Oryzias latipes: one gene and its partners. The protein of the gene in region 3 purifies or fractionates together with the protein of the main gene of each other region. This does not show direct contact. Links are inferred from orthologs where the notes say so. Each region holds a gene or a part of one and is shown on either strand. Other genes may lie near its edges.

The links.
Region 1: the proteins of lsm6 (region 3) and sart3 purify together in Homo sapiens (affinity purification with mass spectrometry; 4 studies listed by BioGRID and IntAct, counting the BioPlex papers as one, with this or other methods). This does not show direct contact. The link is inferred for Oryzias latipes from reciprocal best matches to the Homo sapiens genes LSM6 and SART3.
Region 2: the proteins of lsm6 (region 3) and lsm1 purify together in Homo sapiens (co-immunoprecipitation; 3 studies listed by BioGRID and IntAct, counting the BioPlex papers as one, with this or other methods). This does not show direct contact. The link is inferred for Oryzias latipes from reciprocal best matches to the Homo sapiens genes LSM6 and LSM1.

The regions. Positions count from the first base shown.
Region 1 is NC_019867.2:12,885,919-12,890,342, reverse strand, and holds the start of sart3 (squamous cell carcinoma antigen recognized by T-cells 3), read left to right. Parts: upstream 1-1,609; 5' UTR 1,610-1,848; coding exon 1,849-2,049; intron 2,050-2,785; coding exon 2,786-2,912; intron 2,913-3,014; coding exon 3,015-3,119; intron 3,120-3,205; coding exon 3,206-3,390; intron 3,391-3,556; coding exon 3,557-3,662; intron 3,663-3,784; coding exon 3,785-3,909; intron 3,910-3,997; coding exon 3,998-4,153; intron 4,154-4,337; coding exon 4,338-4,424. Other genes in the region: iscu (iron-sulfur cluster assembly enzyme ISCU, mitochondrial), read right to left, coding at 174-262, 679-757, 838-948, 1,025-1,138, 1,306-1,407. UniProt on the Homo sapiens protein: U6 snRNP-binding protein that functions as a recycling factor of the splicing machinery. Promotes the initial reassembly of U4 and U6 snRNPs following their ejection from the spliceosome during its maturation.
Region 2 is NC_019867.2:18,635,554-18,639,785, forward strand, and holds lsm1 (U6 snRNA-associated Sm-like protein LSm1), read left to right. Parts: upstream 1-1,431; 5' UTR 1,432-1,521; coding exon 1,522-1,567; intron 1,568-1,677; coding exon 1,678-1,746; intron 1,747-1,876; coding exon 1,877-1,992; intron 1,993-2,961; coding exon 2,962-3,132; 3' UTR 3,133-3,660; downstream 3,661-4,232. Other genes in the region: bag4 (BAG family molecular chaperone regulator 4), read right to left, coding at 54-173, 712-801. UniProt on the Homo sapiens protein: Plays a role in the degradation of histone mRNAs, the only eukaryotic mRNAs that are not polyadenylated. Probably also part of an LSm subunits-containing complex involved in the general process of mRNA degradation.
Region 3 is NC_019859.2:18,488,998-18,493,406, forward strand, and holds the start of lsm6 (U6 snRNA-associated Sm-like protein LSm6), read left to right. Parts: upstream 1-1,600; 5' UTR 1,601-1,688; intron 1,689-2,105; 5' UTR 2,106-2,115; coding exon 2,116-2,209; intron 2,210-2,329; coding exon 2,330-2,443; intron 2,444-4,409. UniProt on the Homo sapiens protein: Plays a role in pre-mRNA splicing as component of the U4/U6-U5 tri-snRNP complex that is involved in spliceosome assembly, and as component of the precatalytic spliceosome (spliceosome B complex).

The DNA of each region.
Region 1 (4,424 bases), on a different chromosome or scaffold from region 3:
ATAGAGGCCAAAGTGTAATTGTCCAGGTCATAAAACAAAAATCACAGCTGCAAAATAGCATCATGTGGCGCATGAGTCCTCCAAAAAGGGTGTGATGCTCTCGATATTTCTGTGAAGGATTTTTTTCTTCAGATCAAGGATATCTCTTTCACCAGGATGAACGTGGAAAAGAATTAACTGCTGGCTTTGGCGTGTTCCTCTTTCTTGTCCTGTTTGATTTTGTAGTCTGAGAGCGCTGCTTTTATGGCATCTTCTGCAAGCACTGAAAAGGAAAAAGTGAAAGGACACGGCACAAATTTAATGCAATAACAGCAGGAATTCCGATTTTGATGATTGTTTCTCTATTTATTTTGTAACACTAAGAGTAAATAACGAATAACACTCATATAAAAGATCTATTTACAATGTAACATGCAGTTTTGCTGAAATGGGGTTAAATATGAAATTAATTTAGTGGATTTGGAGAACTCAGGAAGTTGTACTTTTTTCTCCTCCTTTGTGTTGTCCAAAAACAAGTGTCCACACAAAAAAATAATTTTAATACAAATAAATCCTAAAACAGGCAATCAGTTGTGTCACACTTTGTGTAATGTGATTTCAATGCAGCAATTGTGTGTATTCTACCATTAAATGTATCATCTACAAGGCAGGCAGCTCGAATAGGAAAATCAAACTTACTGGAACAATGAAGCTTGACTGGAGGGAGGCACAGTTCTTTGGCAATGTCTGAATTTTTAATCTTCATAGCTTCATCCAGCTACAGGATTTTAAAAAGTATGTTATTATGATCCTTAGATAAAACAAACAAACTTTTCGGAGCCTTTTTTCGTAACTCACCGACTTCCCCTTCACCCACTCTGTTGCTAGGGAGCTGGAGGCTATAGCCGACCCACAGCCGAATGTTTTAAACTTTGCATCCACTATTTTTCCATTTTCATCAACTTGAATCTAGGATCAATATTAAAGTAAATTAATAATGTATAAAAATCTGAAATATAACGTGTTTGGCCAAATTCAAGCTTACCTGGAGTTTCATTACGTCACCACAGGCTGGTGCACCTACCAAACCTGTCCCCACACTTTTGGAGTTTTTGTCCAAAGATCCCACGTTTCTCGGGTTTTCATAATGGTCAACCACCTTCGAAAAAAATTAAAAATATATATAATACGGGGTAGGTTACAGAGACACAAATAGCATGTCGCATGCATTAGCTTGTTCAGTTCAGCCACACCAACTACCGTTTTCGCAAAACTGGCAACTTTGTTTAAAATAAAAGCCGTGTATTTGTGCATTCAATGTTTTACCTTTTTGTGGTATGAGCAAAGTGACTTTAACTCCGGTCTAAATAGCCTGCTGCAAAACAAGGAAGGCAAGGACGCACAGTTTCGTACACTGATCATCGCCATGTTCACATTGCCGATTGTGAACGATGAATGCCGAGTGAACACGAGAGGTGCCGAACGCTGTTTGCTGATAAACATGGTGGACTTCGTGTTAACATGTCGAAAAAGCTCCATCTAGCGGTTGAAGTGGTAATTGCCAAACTTGCTTCTTTTTTTATGTGGCTCAGTGTTTTATTGAACCAGTCACCGTCAGTGTCACTGGCATGGAGACACACTTTTGTCCCGCTCATATTTTTGTAGTTATCCCCGTTCCAATTGCTCCCAATGACCGCAACTGTAAATTGTTTCTTAAGTTAGTTTGTCCACTCACGCACTCCGTAATCCTAATATTTTGAGGCACGAGCATAGCGTGAACGCGCACGTCTTTCACCGTTGGGACGGGGCGGGTTTTCAATAAGAATTGGCTGCTCAGGCTGCTGTTGCCAGGCAGACAGTATTTCCAACATGGCAGCGCCAGCTAACGCAGAACAAACGCAGTTGCAAGATATGGAGGAGGACGGAGCAAAGGTGGAAGAGAGGGAGATGGATTCAGACGAAGAGGAGGACGAAGAGGGCATGCGTGTCGAAAACTCAGACGAAGAAGAGGACGATTCTTCGGAAGACGAAAAAGAAAATGAAGCCGAAATCCAGCGGTTGGAAGAACAGGTATTGACATCATCAAGCAGTCATGCTTTAGCCGAGGTGCTAATATCAATGAATGAATCGCAAAGCCTATACCAAGAAGCAGTTATAAAACGACTCACTCATCAGCATAGTTAACTCTTCTTGACAAATAAATAAATATCATTTTTGTTAGCGAATCACACATGAAACGTTTACGATGTTTATATGGCAATCCTGCTCATTCCTGCTAACTGGTTAAGCTAGCAGTTATCGCGCCTTTTTATCCTTTCGGGATATTGTCATCATTACTCTTCTTGACTTTTAAAGAACAAACTGAGGGGTAGCCTGCACTGTATTCTGTACATTTGTCCTGTTTAGTATATAGTGAAAATAATGTTTATATTGTGCTAAGGAAAGGGTTAAATGATTCCTTTATCTGTACCCACTTAAGATTGCTTACTTAGACTGCACAGTTTGTAGTGTTTACTTTGTCTTTAGCTGTGTCCAAGACGGTCTTTGGGTTTATAACCTTTGACCTTTTGCTTATAATAAGGAGAACTTGGCTCATGTGTTTTTTTTTCTTTTAATACACAATAAAGAGGAATTAATTGGTAAACATTTGACAGCAAAGTTTTGACCGCTTGCTATTGGAGTCTTGCTTTATTTTTTTCTCTTTACAGTACTATGCAATAATAAGGTTACATAGCTTATAGAAGCTGCCTTATATTTTGATAATGTATTGCTACCAAATAATATTTTTTTCTGTGCTCATCCTCAGCTGTCTATCAACGCCTTCGACTACAACTGCCACGTGGATCTCATCAAACTGCTGAAACAAGAGGGAGAACTTATCCGTCTGCGAAAAGCAAGACAGAAGATGAGCGAACTTTTCCCTCTTACTGAAGGTTAGGTTATGTCTAACGCAGTTCCAGCACAGACAGAATACTAGCACTGCATTGTTTGTGACAGATATGTAAACGCCTCCTTTTTTGTTTCAAATTCTGCAGAAATCTGGCTGGACTGGCTCAAAGATGAGATTCGTCTGACAGAAGAAGAGTCAAACAGAGAAAAAGTCTATGAGTTGTTTGAAAGAGCCATCAAAGACTACATCTGTCAGTGCACCATGTTATTGTCATTTCCTTTAATCCAATGTTCAGTTATTAGATTGCCTTAATGTCTTTTGTTTTTTTTAACACAGGTCCAGAAATTTGGCTTGAATATGCCCAGTACTCAATTGGGGGTATGGGCTCACCAGGTGGGATAGACAAGGTGAGATCCATCTTTGAGAGGGCAGTGACAGCTGTGGGGCTTCACATGACAAAAGGACAGTCAGTGTGGGAGGCATACAGAGAGTTTGAGAACGCCATTCTGTCCACATTGCAGGTTTGTGTTTACTTTTTTTTTTGTCTCTTCAGACTCAAAATCTGGGTTTAAATTTCAAAGATGCTTTACTTAAAGATAAAAAAGTCTGCATCTTTAAACAAACAACTATAGTGTTTGACAGATTGGGCCAAATTTCATCTTTTTTTGTTTTGTAATCTTCTGTCAGCCTCCCCCTGGCAAAGTTCCCAGGAATGAGGAACAGGAGCTGATAAAAACCCAGCTTGAAAGAATTCACACACTGTTTCGCCGTCAGCTGGCCATCCCCTTAATGGGTAAGCAGCCAGATAAAATTCAAAATCTGAATCAGTGTTGCTATTTAAGTGTACCTTTTTTAGATGTCACCAGATTAAAATAGTTCTAATCTGTAAACCTTTGGACTTGTGTGCTTTTGTAGACATGGAAGCTACTTATGCAGAGTATGAAGAGTGGTCTGAGCATGGAGTGCCTGAGGCCGTCGCGCATCAGTACAAAAAAGCGTTGCAGCAGATGGAGAAGTGCAAACCCCTTGAAGAGGCTCTGGTAGCTGACCTGCACACATTTGGTTTTGAATCTGTCTTGAGCGACTTTTTTCTAGTTGTTAACATCTTCTTGCATCCGTCTGCTGCAGCTGGTGGCCGAACCTCCTAAACTGGCTGAATATCAGGCCTACATTGACTTTGAATTGAAGGTGGGGGACCCAGCACGGATCCAGATTACCTTTGAAAGAGCTCTGGCAGAGAACTGCTTGGTTCCAGACATGTGGTCTAAATGCACCAAGTATCTTGTGAGTATTGATTATTGTTCAGTCTATAAAGAATGAAATTTTTGCTATGTATTTGTTTTAGTTCAGCTGCCTGTTTCTGTTTATTTAGCATTTTAGTAAATTGGCCAATTAAGAAAGAAAAATGAAAACATAATTAAAAAAAAAGTGTTGCTTAGATTTTTGTCTTTTATTTTTGATCTTTTAGGATCGCCAGCTGAAGGTTAAAGACTTGGTTCTGTCCACTCATGAGCGGGCTGTTAGGAACTGCCCCTGGACCATGAGTCTGTGGAAG
Region 2 (4,232 bases), on a different chromosome or scaffold from region 3:
AGCAATATATTAAAATGTTGAAGGAAAGGAATGGCTCGTATAGTGAGATGTACCTGTGGATTGTACTGCGGATGCAGATCTGACGCTGAAGGATAGGCATTTGCGTAGGGCCCTGTGGAGTGGGACTGCGGATACCAGTATTGTGGAGGGTAACTTGGATACTGAGGAGCATCCTGTAAAAGGCAAGTTGACACGAGACAGCGACTCACTTTATGTGATCCAACCCATTTTGTGTAGCTATCCTAAATCTCAAATAGAGATATGGAGAACTTGATGCTGAGAAACTTAAATGATAAACGCATTGATAAACATATACTCGTGTCTTTCTAGAAAACTAAATAAATGGATGTTAACTTGTGTTTAAATGAATGAAATAATTTGAGCTAAACCAATGATTAACTCATGAAACTCTATATGATCGCTACGATCTCCTAACGTGCAGAAGTGTTGTGTTAAATCGATATTTTCGAGTCAATGTAATTTAAAAACAAGGACTTAACTAATAAGCTAGCAGTAACTATTACATAATGCCCGCTAGCTATATTAGCTATGAAGCTAGCATGATGAACATTGCGAAGAACTTCTGCACGAACGAACAAACGGATTTTATTGTTGGGAGATTTTAAATTAATCTTTGTTTCTTTAAAGCACAATATGATCTGTCACCCCCTCCCCCCAGTAAAGTTTTTTTTAATTAATCTGCTCGCTTACCATAGTGTTACTGCAGCTTCCGTGACTATTTCCCGAGTTAGTAGAGGGCCAGCCAGTTTTCCCGTTTGGCTGCATTTGGGGTTTCTGCATCAGTTACACGTATTTTGCCATCTTCCAAAATAAGCAAGACTATCACTAGTTTACGGTTCCGCTAGAAATCTGACAGCTGATCAAAGCAGCAGCTTCCCCGCAGAAGTCAGGATCGCCTGATTGCAACCAAGAAATGAATAAATGACGCGGAACTCTGGAGACATGGTACTGCGTCTTTAAGTCGAGTAGAACCATTACAAGTAAAGAGGAGTCACTCTCTAAAACTTTCTGATCGAAATTGCTGGATGAAACCTTACAATTGCAAAACGCAGAAACGGGGAACACAATTAGAATATTTTTAATTAAAGATATTTATTTTCAATATATTTTACTGCTAAGACCAACTATTGAATTACTCCTGTAGCAGTTGTATTTTTTAAACATGTGACGCAACTTTTCAAAATTTTCATTTACGATCTTTGATGTGGCACATGCGTTGGAAGGGTTACCATCCATCATCAAATGGGGACATTTAATCCAAACATGTTTTATAGAAAATTCTTTTTGTATCATAAAATGTATGATACTTTTGTTTAAATCATTTTTACACAGTTATTTTTAGAAAATTCGAGCTATGCGCAATTACGGTGCGGAAGGGGTTAAATGTTTACAGGAAGTGTATAAAAGCACTTCCTGTGCACCGTCAAATAGAAACGGGTAAAAACATTCATGGCTTGATGGTTCAGAAATCAACTAAACGCGTGAAAACTGCAACTAAACATGAATTACGTACCAGGGACGGCCAGTCTCATTGACGATATTGACAGTAAGTTGGGCCTTATAGAAATTGCTTTTTTTAATCATAAACAAACGACACAATGTATTAGCGTGTGCCGTGTGGACGCAGATTTTTTTTAAATGTTTTTAATTTCGCAGAAAAGCACTTGGTCCTGCTGCGAGATGGCAGAACACTAATCGGTTACCTGAGAAGCATCGATCAGTTTGGTAATAAAAAATGAGAATCTTCTAAACTCTTCCATGCGGGTTTATTTTTTTATTTTTATATGATTACGCGGTGTTTCAATAGTCCTAAATTTGTTTGTTTCTTTCTTTTTTTTTTTTTTTTGTTCCACAGCCAATTTAGTCTTTCATCAGACGGTGGAGCGTATCCACGTGGGAAAGAAATTTGGAGATATTCCCAGAGGTATCTTCATCGTCAGGGGAGAAAATGTAGTCCTGCTTGGGGAAATAGTAAGTGTTTTAGAGCAATTTTTTAGTTTGTTCTAAACTTGAATGTAATTTCTGGATCAAGTTTTATTTACGTGAACTTGTTCTCAGATGCTCCGTACAGCACCAAACATCAAACTCTGAATGTGGTCAAGCATCCAGGTCTCGCACTGCAGAAAATGATGTGACTCTTATTTAAAGATCAAGTTAAATTTATATGCAAGTAAATTGTTACTTTATATAGTTACTACAGTTATAAACTTTTTTTTTTGAAAAGTTGCTGCCTAAATGAATACTTGCTTAAAAAGGAAATTGCGCACACATTGACTGTAAAGGTACCTCCATGTTAAGGTTACTTAGCAAAAACAAAAAAGGCTTAATTTTACAACTTTTTCAAATTTGCTGTTTGGTCTAGCCAGATTTTTTATTTTTCTCTCCTGGTTTTCAATATGATATAAAAGAAAAGCGGGTGGGAAAAGTGGTGAGGATTGTCAATCTTTGCTCTTTCCATATAAATACAATGCATACTTCTTCTTACTTTTTTTTTTCTTAATTATAATTTAGATTACCAATGATTACACAAATGATTGCAGGATTGCTGCTAGTTTACCTCACAACCCCAACCTAACATGATGGTGGTAGAAATGAATACGGCAACAATATTAGAGCTATCCAGCCATAGTTTGGAGCCAGATCTCAGCTCCGATGAGGGAAACAAAGAGGCACATGCATCGTTTTGTCTACAATGGATGCATCAGAATAGAGTGGTGCAGGGAGCTTGTGGCTTACCATTCGAACTTGTGTCACACAAGTTTTTCGTGGGTCCTTGAACCACGGAGTTTAAGCATCTTTTTGGGCAAAACTATGAGCAGGCCATAGCATTGAGTACTAGCAACTTTTGTTAGTGTCATGGAATGATGCACAGAGCCTAAAAGAACTTGATGACATTTTCGGATCATAAGATTTGACCTCACTCTCCTGTGTCCTGTGCAGGATTTGGATAAGCCCTGCGACACAGTCTTGCAGCAGGTTTCAATTGAGGAGATCCTGGAGGAGCAGCGGTTGCAGCAGCAGGCCAAACAGGAAACGGAGAAAGTCAAAATGCAAGCTCTGAAGGACAGAGGCCTTTCCATACCCAAAGCTGATAATTTGGACGAGTATTGAACCCTTTACAAGCCTTTTAGTTTGTATAAGACAAATGGATTTTATGTTTAACTGAAGGGTGTCTTTTGTTTTGTGGCTAGAATCATGTAAGGCACAATACTGCATTGTTTTGTTTTGCTTTTTTTTCTTTTCTTAATAGTTTCATTTAAATTGTATGGGGATGTAAGAACTGTTTAAGCAAATGGTTACAACTTGACGGCCTTTTTACAGCAGCACTTTGTCATCAATCATCATAATGACGTGAACTTTTTATTTGGAGATGGTGGGTCTGCTAGTGACTAACACTCCTGTTCTCCATTAAAACAATTGAGTTTCACTTACTAAAGCCTGCTTGAAAAATCTTTTGTCTTTGAAGGTTTAATCTGCAAGTACACAGAAAGCGGTGCGTTTAGTCATTTAAGTATTTATTGGTGACTTGACTGGCTTCCTATTGGCTAATCAAAACGTTAATTCTGTTATAGGGATGATCTTTCAGATACTGATCAATTTCCCTCATTAGCTGCTAGAATAAAGTGACGTGTAAGAGAAGCTATGCGTTTTACAGTCATCTTTATATGTACCCCGTATACTTTTTTATTTTTTTTTATTTATTTTTTTCTTAACCTATAGCAGGGTTCTGCAACCTTCAGCACATAAAGAGCCATTTGGGTTGATGTCTCAATGACCACGCCCCAGTAGGAGTCAAAGTCTTTATTTTTTTATTTTTTTAAGACTAATTTGTCTTGGATACTAATATGATAAATATAGATGAACTGTTATTTGGCATAAATAAAAAAATATAAAGAGAAAATAGCTTTTTTTTTAAAATACCGGTAGTTTAAACTTTTGATGGAGGTTCATGTGACTTCCTCTCAATAAGTGTCCTGTTTCACATGGGATCCTCTCAATCCAGCAAATGTAGAAGTGTAATGTCAGCAGTGATTAAAAATAGATATTTTAGCATTTGAGGTGCATAACAGCCAACATTTGTAAATCAAATCAACAAAAAAAAATTAGAGCTAAGTGACCCTTGCCATATTTATTAGAACCATAAGGTGAACTTAAAAATCCTTCAATTTGTTAAATAGAAAACTCACCATCCATTACTCCTTTAGTAGGAA
Region 3 (4,409 bases):
TGGTAGTATTATTTTAAAACAATAATGTTTTAAGCCATTGTTTGGATAAAACAATCCAGAGATAAATCTTAGCTTGACATGAAGCTGATTACTTAATTTGTCTCCACAAAAAAAAAGACAAACCTTTTTACTCATAGTATACTTTACACTGAAAAAAGGGACTTTGTGAAAAAAACCTAAATAAAAAGAAAAACACTGGCTCTGATATCTTACCACCACTTTGTTTTTATTTTAGAAATGATTTTTAGAGTTTCAAGATTGCTGATCTTCATGACCTAGCAAAAGCGGAAGTTCTTTGTCCAAAAACGGATCGCCATATTTCATATATAAAACAGTCAAACTTAGTGTGTTAGATATTACTTTAAACTTTCCTTGATGTTTTTATTCATAGACATTCCAGTGAGAACATCAAAAACAATAAAGTAGTGGTTTTGATTGCCTCATCACTGAACTTACTCCAAATGTTGTCCGTATAAACTTTGTAACTACTTAAACTTCTTTTATACACAACAAATACTTAATCTTAGCATTTCTATTTTTCTTGTCTGATAGGTTTTCACAAATACATTGTCACAATCAGAAAGTGTAAAATATCATGCGCTTTGACCTCAACTGAATCCAACAATGTTTGCAGTTCTTTGCATGTTCTGCTTGTTCCACGGTCTTCTGTGTGGCATTCATTCTTGGCGTTGTTTTGCTGGCTGATGAAGTTTTCTACTGTTCCAAATTTTAATTTGTCTTGATTTTAGTGCAGCTAATGATGATTAATCAAATGCTTTGCTCTGCCCTTTGTGAGTTGTGTATCTCTGACACAGTTTAGGACTTGTTTAAATCCAAACTATGTGAATAAATGTTAAAAGCATCCCAGCAAAAGAATGCATCCAGCTCTAACTGGATTTCTCCTGGTGGCCTTCTCAGCTTATTAAACATAAGTGAGCTCGATCAATTGCTCACTTGTTTTTTTTTTCTCACTGTTTAATTGCTGAAGCCATAGAACATCCAGTTAGGTTGTAACATTGTCCGTCTAACAGGTTTATTCTGCAGATTCAAGCCTTTACAGATTGTCCAAAGGTACTAAATGTTTCTTCAGCTGAAACAGGCATGTGACTTGACATTTCAGGTCTCAATAATAACTTCCTCTGACTGCCTTATTCTAAGTCCTAACATTTGCCTATAAACAACCCTTACTAATTATTGCTCTCTTTGCCAATGAATAGCAACTGGTGCAACATGCAGCAAAAACGTAATATGCTAAACTCTTCAGTTCTGGGATAAAAAATTGTGAATTGATCCAACCGGTGTTGACATAAAAAAAAGTAGTTTTGAACTTTTTATTTTATTTTACAGGACTTAAATTAGAATGTAATGTCTTGACATGTGTCCTGCTTTAGAAAAAAGCCGGTTAAGAGTTTAATGGTTTGAAAACAGTAAACAGTTCTATTATTATTATTATTATTATTATTATTATTATTATTATTATTATTATTATTATTATTATTATTATTATTATTATTATTATTATTATTATTATTATTATTATTATTAACAGATTTTCTAAATTTAGCGCGTTTGCTACTTAATGCGATTTCGATATTTTTGACAACGGCCGGCTACCATAGACTGCACGTATATGATTGGGTAGTTCGCGGGTGTCGTTGAAAACAGTCGTTTGCTAGACGTAATAGCAGGTGAGTGGAATGTAAACCAAGCCATTTACCTCTGCTTGTAAAGCAAACATGCGTTTAGCCTATTTACATTGCAGATACAATTGTTTAGAAAATCTTAAAGAACCTCCGGCATTATCTCTACAGACATTAGACAGTTAACCCCGTCAGTAGCCAGATGGTTAGCTACGCTAGCAGTAGCAGCTAACGTCTCCCGCTTGCTCAGTGATTTAATTTGTTCATTGATGCTTATTTCTGTAGTTCAGCACGTGGTTGGAAAAAATGAGAGTTGGGCTTTTTATGTGGTATTTTAGCGGAAATAAAACATCGTTTTTTATGTATTAAATCCACGCTATTAAACATAAAACTAATCATGGAGGACGATGGCGATGCTAGCACAAGAAACTAAAAGGCTAATATACAAAAACCTTTATTTTTCAGATCAAGCAAGATGAGTATGAGAAAACAAACGCCGAGTGACTTCCTTAAGCAGATAATTGGTAGACCAGTGGTGGTCAAACTAAACTCTGGTGTGGATTACAGAGGTAAAACACCTGGCGTGCCAGGCTCAGCCGCACGGTTCTCCTTTATTGTTATTTCTAAATGTCTGTTAAGGAATGAGACTTTAACCAAAACTTTGTTCCTGTTTGCTATAACTTATGCAGGTGTTCTGGCCTGTCTGGATGGTTACATGAACATCGCCATTGAACAGACAGAAGAGTATGTTAATGGACAGCTCAAGAACAAGTATGGGGATGCCTTTCTGAGAGGAAACAATGGTAAGAGGTTACATTTTTACAATAAAAATACTGATTAAGCCTTCTGCACATAATGACGTTAGTCAAGGGGGTATGCCTTTAGATTATATGTTTTAACTTTACACTGAATAGTAGGTATGCATAGTCAGTTAAATAACCCAAAATCATTGGTTAATGATATTTGACCTATTCATCATAGTTTTAATTTATTTTTAAATACAGCGATGTATGTCTGAAACATGCAAATATGGTGAAAATATTTACATTGCATAAGGCATGCCTAAGAACTCATTTAAAGAAATTGGAATTATTGGTCAAGTTTAGGTGACTATGGTAGAGAGATGTGGTTTGGAGTTGTTTCTTTGCAGAAATGATTAGGTAAAAGTAGCCTAATCAAATAGATTTAATGCATGTCTTAAACCAGGGGTCGGCAACCTTTACCACTCAAAGAGTCATTTGGAGCCGTTTCCCACAGAAATGAAAGCACAGGGAACCGCAACACAAGGGGTGTTAGAAATAAAGCGTTTTGCTTTTGAAATGTCGCAATAGTTCATTTGACAATACTTGTATTGATTCAAAATGCTGTCAGGATATTTATTTAATTATTTATTTTAATTATTTATGAGCCTTATGTTTCCTTTGATCTTTTGTCCATTTTACACAACCTTGATCTTGTGCCCCTACGAGATTACCGCTGACTGTCTTTATAGAAGAACTTTCCATCCCATACCAGACTCTGGTCAGTATTCACATGTGCAGACACGCCCCCTCCGCGTGCTCACGCTGCGCTCTTCCTCCTGACCGCTCGCGCTACCCGACGGTGTTAAAGGCTCTACAACAATCTTAGAACATGATAGGTATTTTACAAAAATACAGACAGTCGCAGCACAGGGATGAAAGCGGCTCCGGAGCCGCAGGTTGCCTACCCATGTCTTAAACCAACAAAAAACTATTTGGGGAGTATTAGAAAAAAGTTGACAATTTTGCTAATAGGAACGTTTCAAAGTGATAGAAATGAATCTTAACAATTTTAAGTGCATGATTGATTTATATTGGTTTAACCAAATGGACAGTAATGACACAAATTTTTAAAGGTTTAAGGCAGTACGAAGCAGGATGATCTATAGGTGTGACACAAAAACGATCAGATGCAGATTGTTTAGGAGGCAAACGAATAGAATGGGCTGGCTAAAATATCTTTAACCTCTTAAGACCTGATGTCCACATGTGCGAACATCACATATTACCACAGTTGTTAATTTTGCTTAACTGGGGCCCTGTGACTATGTGTAGAGGGTTATCTCAAATATTAGCTCGGGTCTTAAAAGGTAAAACTATCACCTTCCCAGTTTATCTGAGTTTTTTCTTTTGCATATGGAAAATATATTAAAAAAAAGACTTTGGATACATCTGTAAATGGCATTTCTAAAACTGCAGTAAATAATTTCACTTTACCTTTAAAAATGTAAATTCTTTCACTAACTTATACCATCTGCTGTGAGATTTCATCTTTAGGTACACAAAATCTGTGTTTGGGGAATATTTGAAATTTGTTTGAAATGTTAACCACTAATGGAGAGCTAGCCTAGCATATTCTGACACAACACAATCAAGGAAACCTTACATAATGATGTAAGCTTTCTCTTTTTTGTCCTTTTATTTTCTAAAGAAACACACTTTATTCCTATGTGTGGACAACACAAAAATCCAAAAAAATTATATAAGGGCAATACCAATGTTACTACTTCATCTGCAGAGACAGCCTAAGCACTAGAGGTGTGTATTGGCAAGAGTCTGACGATACGATGCGTATCCTTATATAGTACCGGAGCACATTTTCTTTCTTTTTTAAAAAGAAAATGACTTAGAAAAATATCTGACTTAATTTCAATATGTCTTTCATTGTAAAAAAATGGTCAAATTCCATTTAATGATCACAATGTTGAGCACTGCAACTGTATCTCATATACAAGTTGCTTTTACCCAG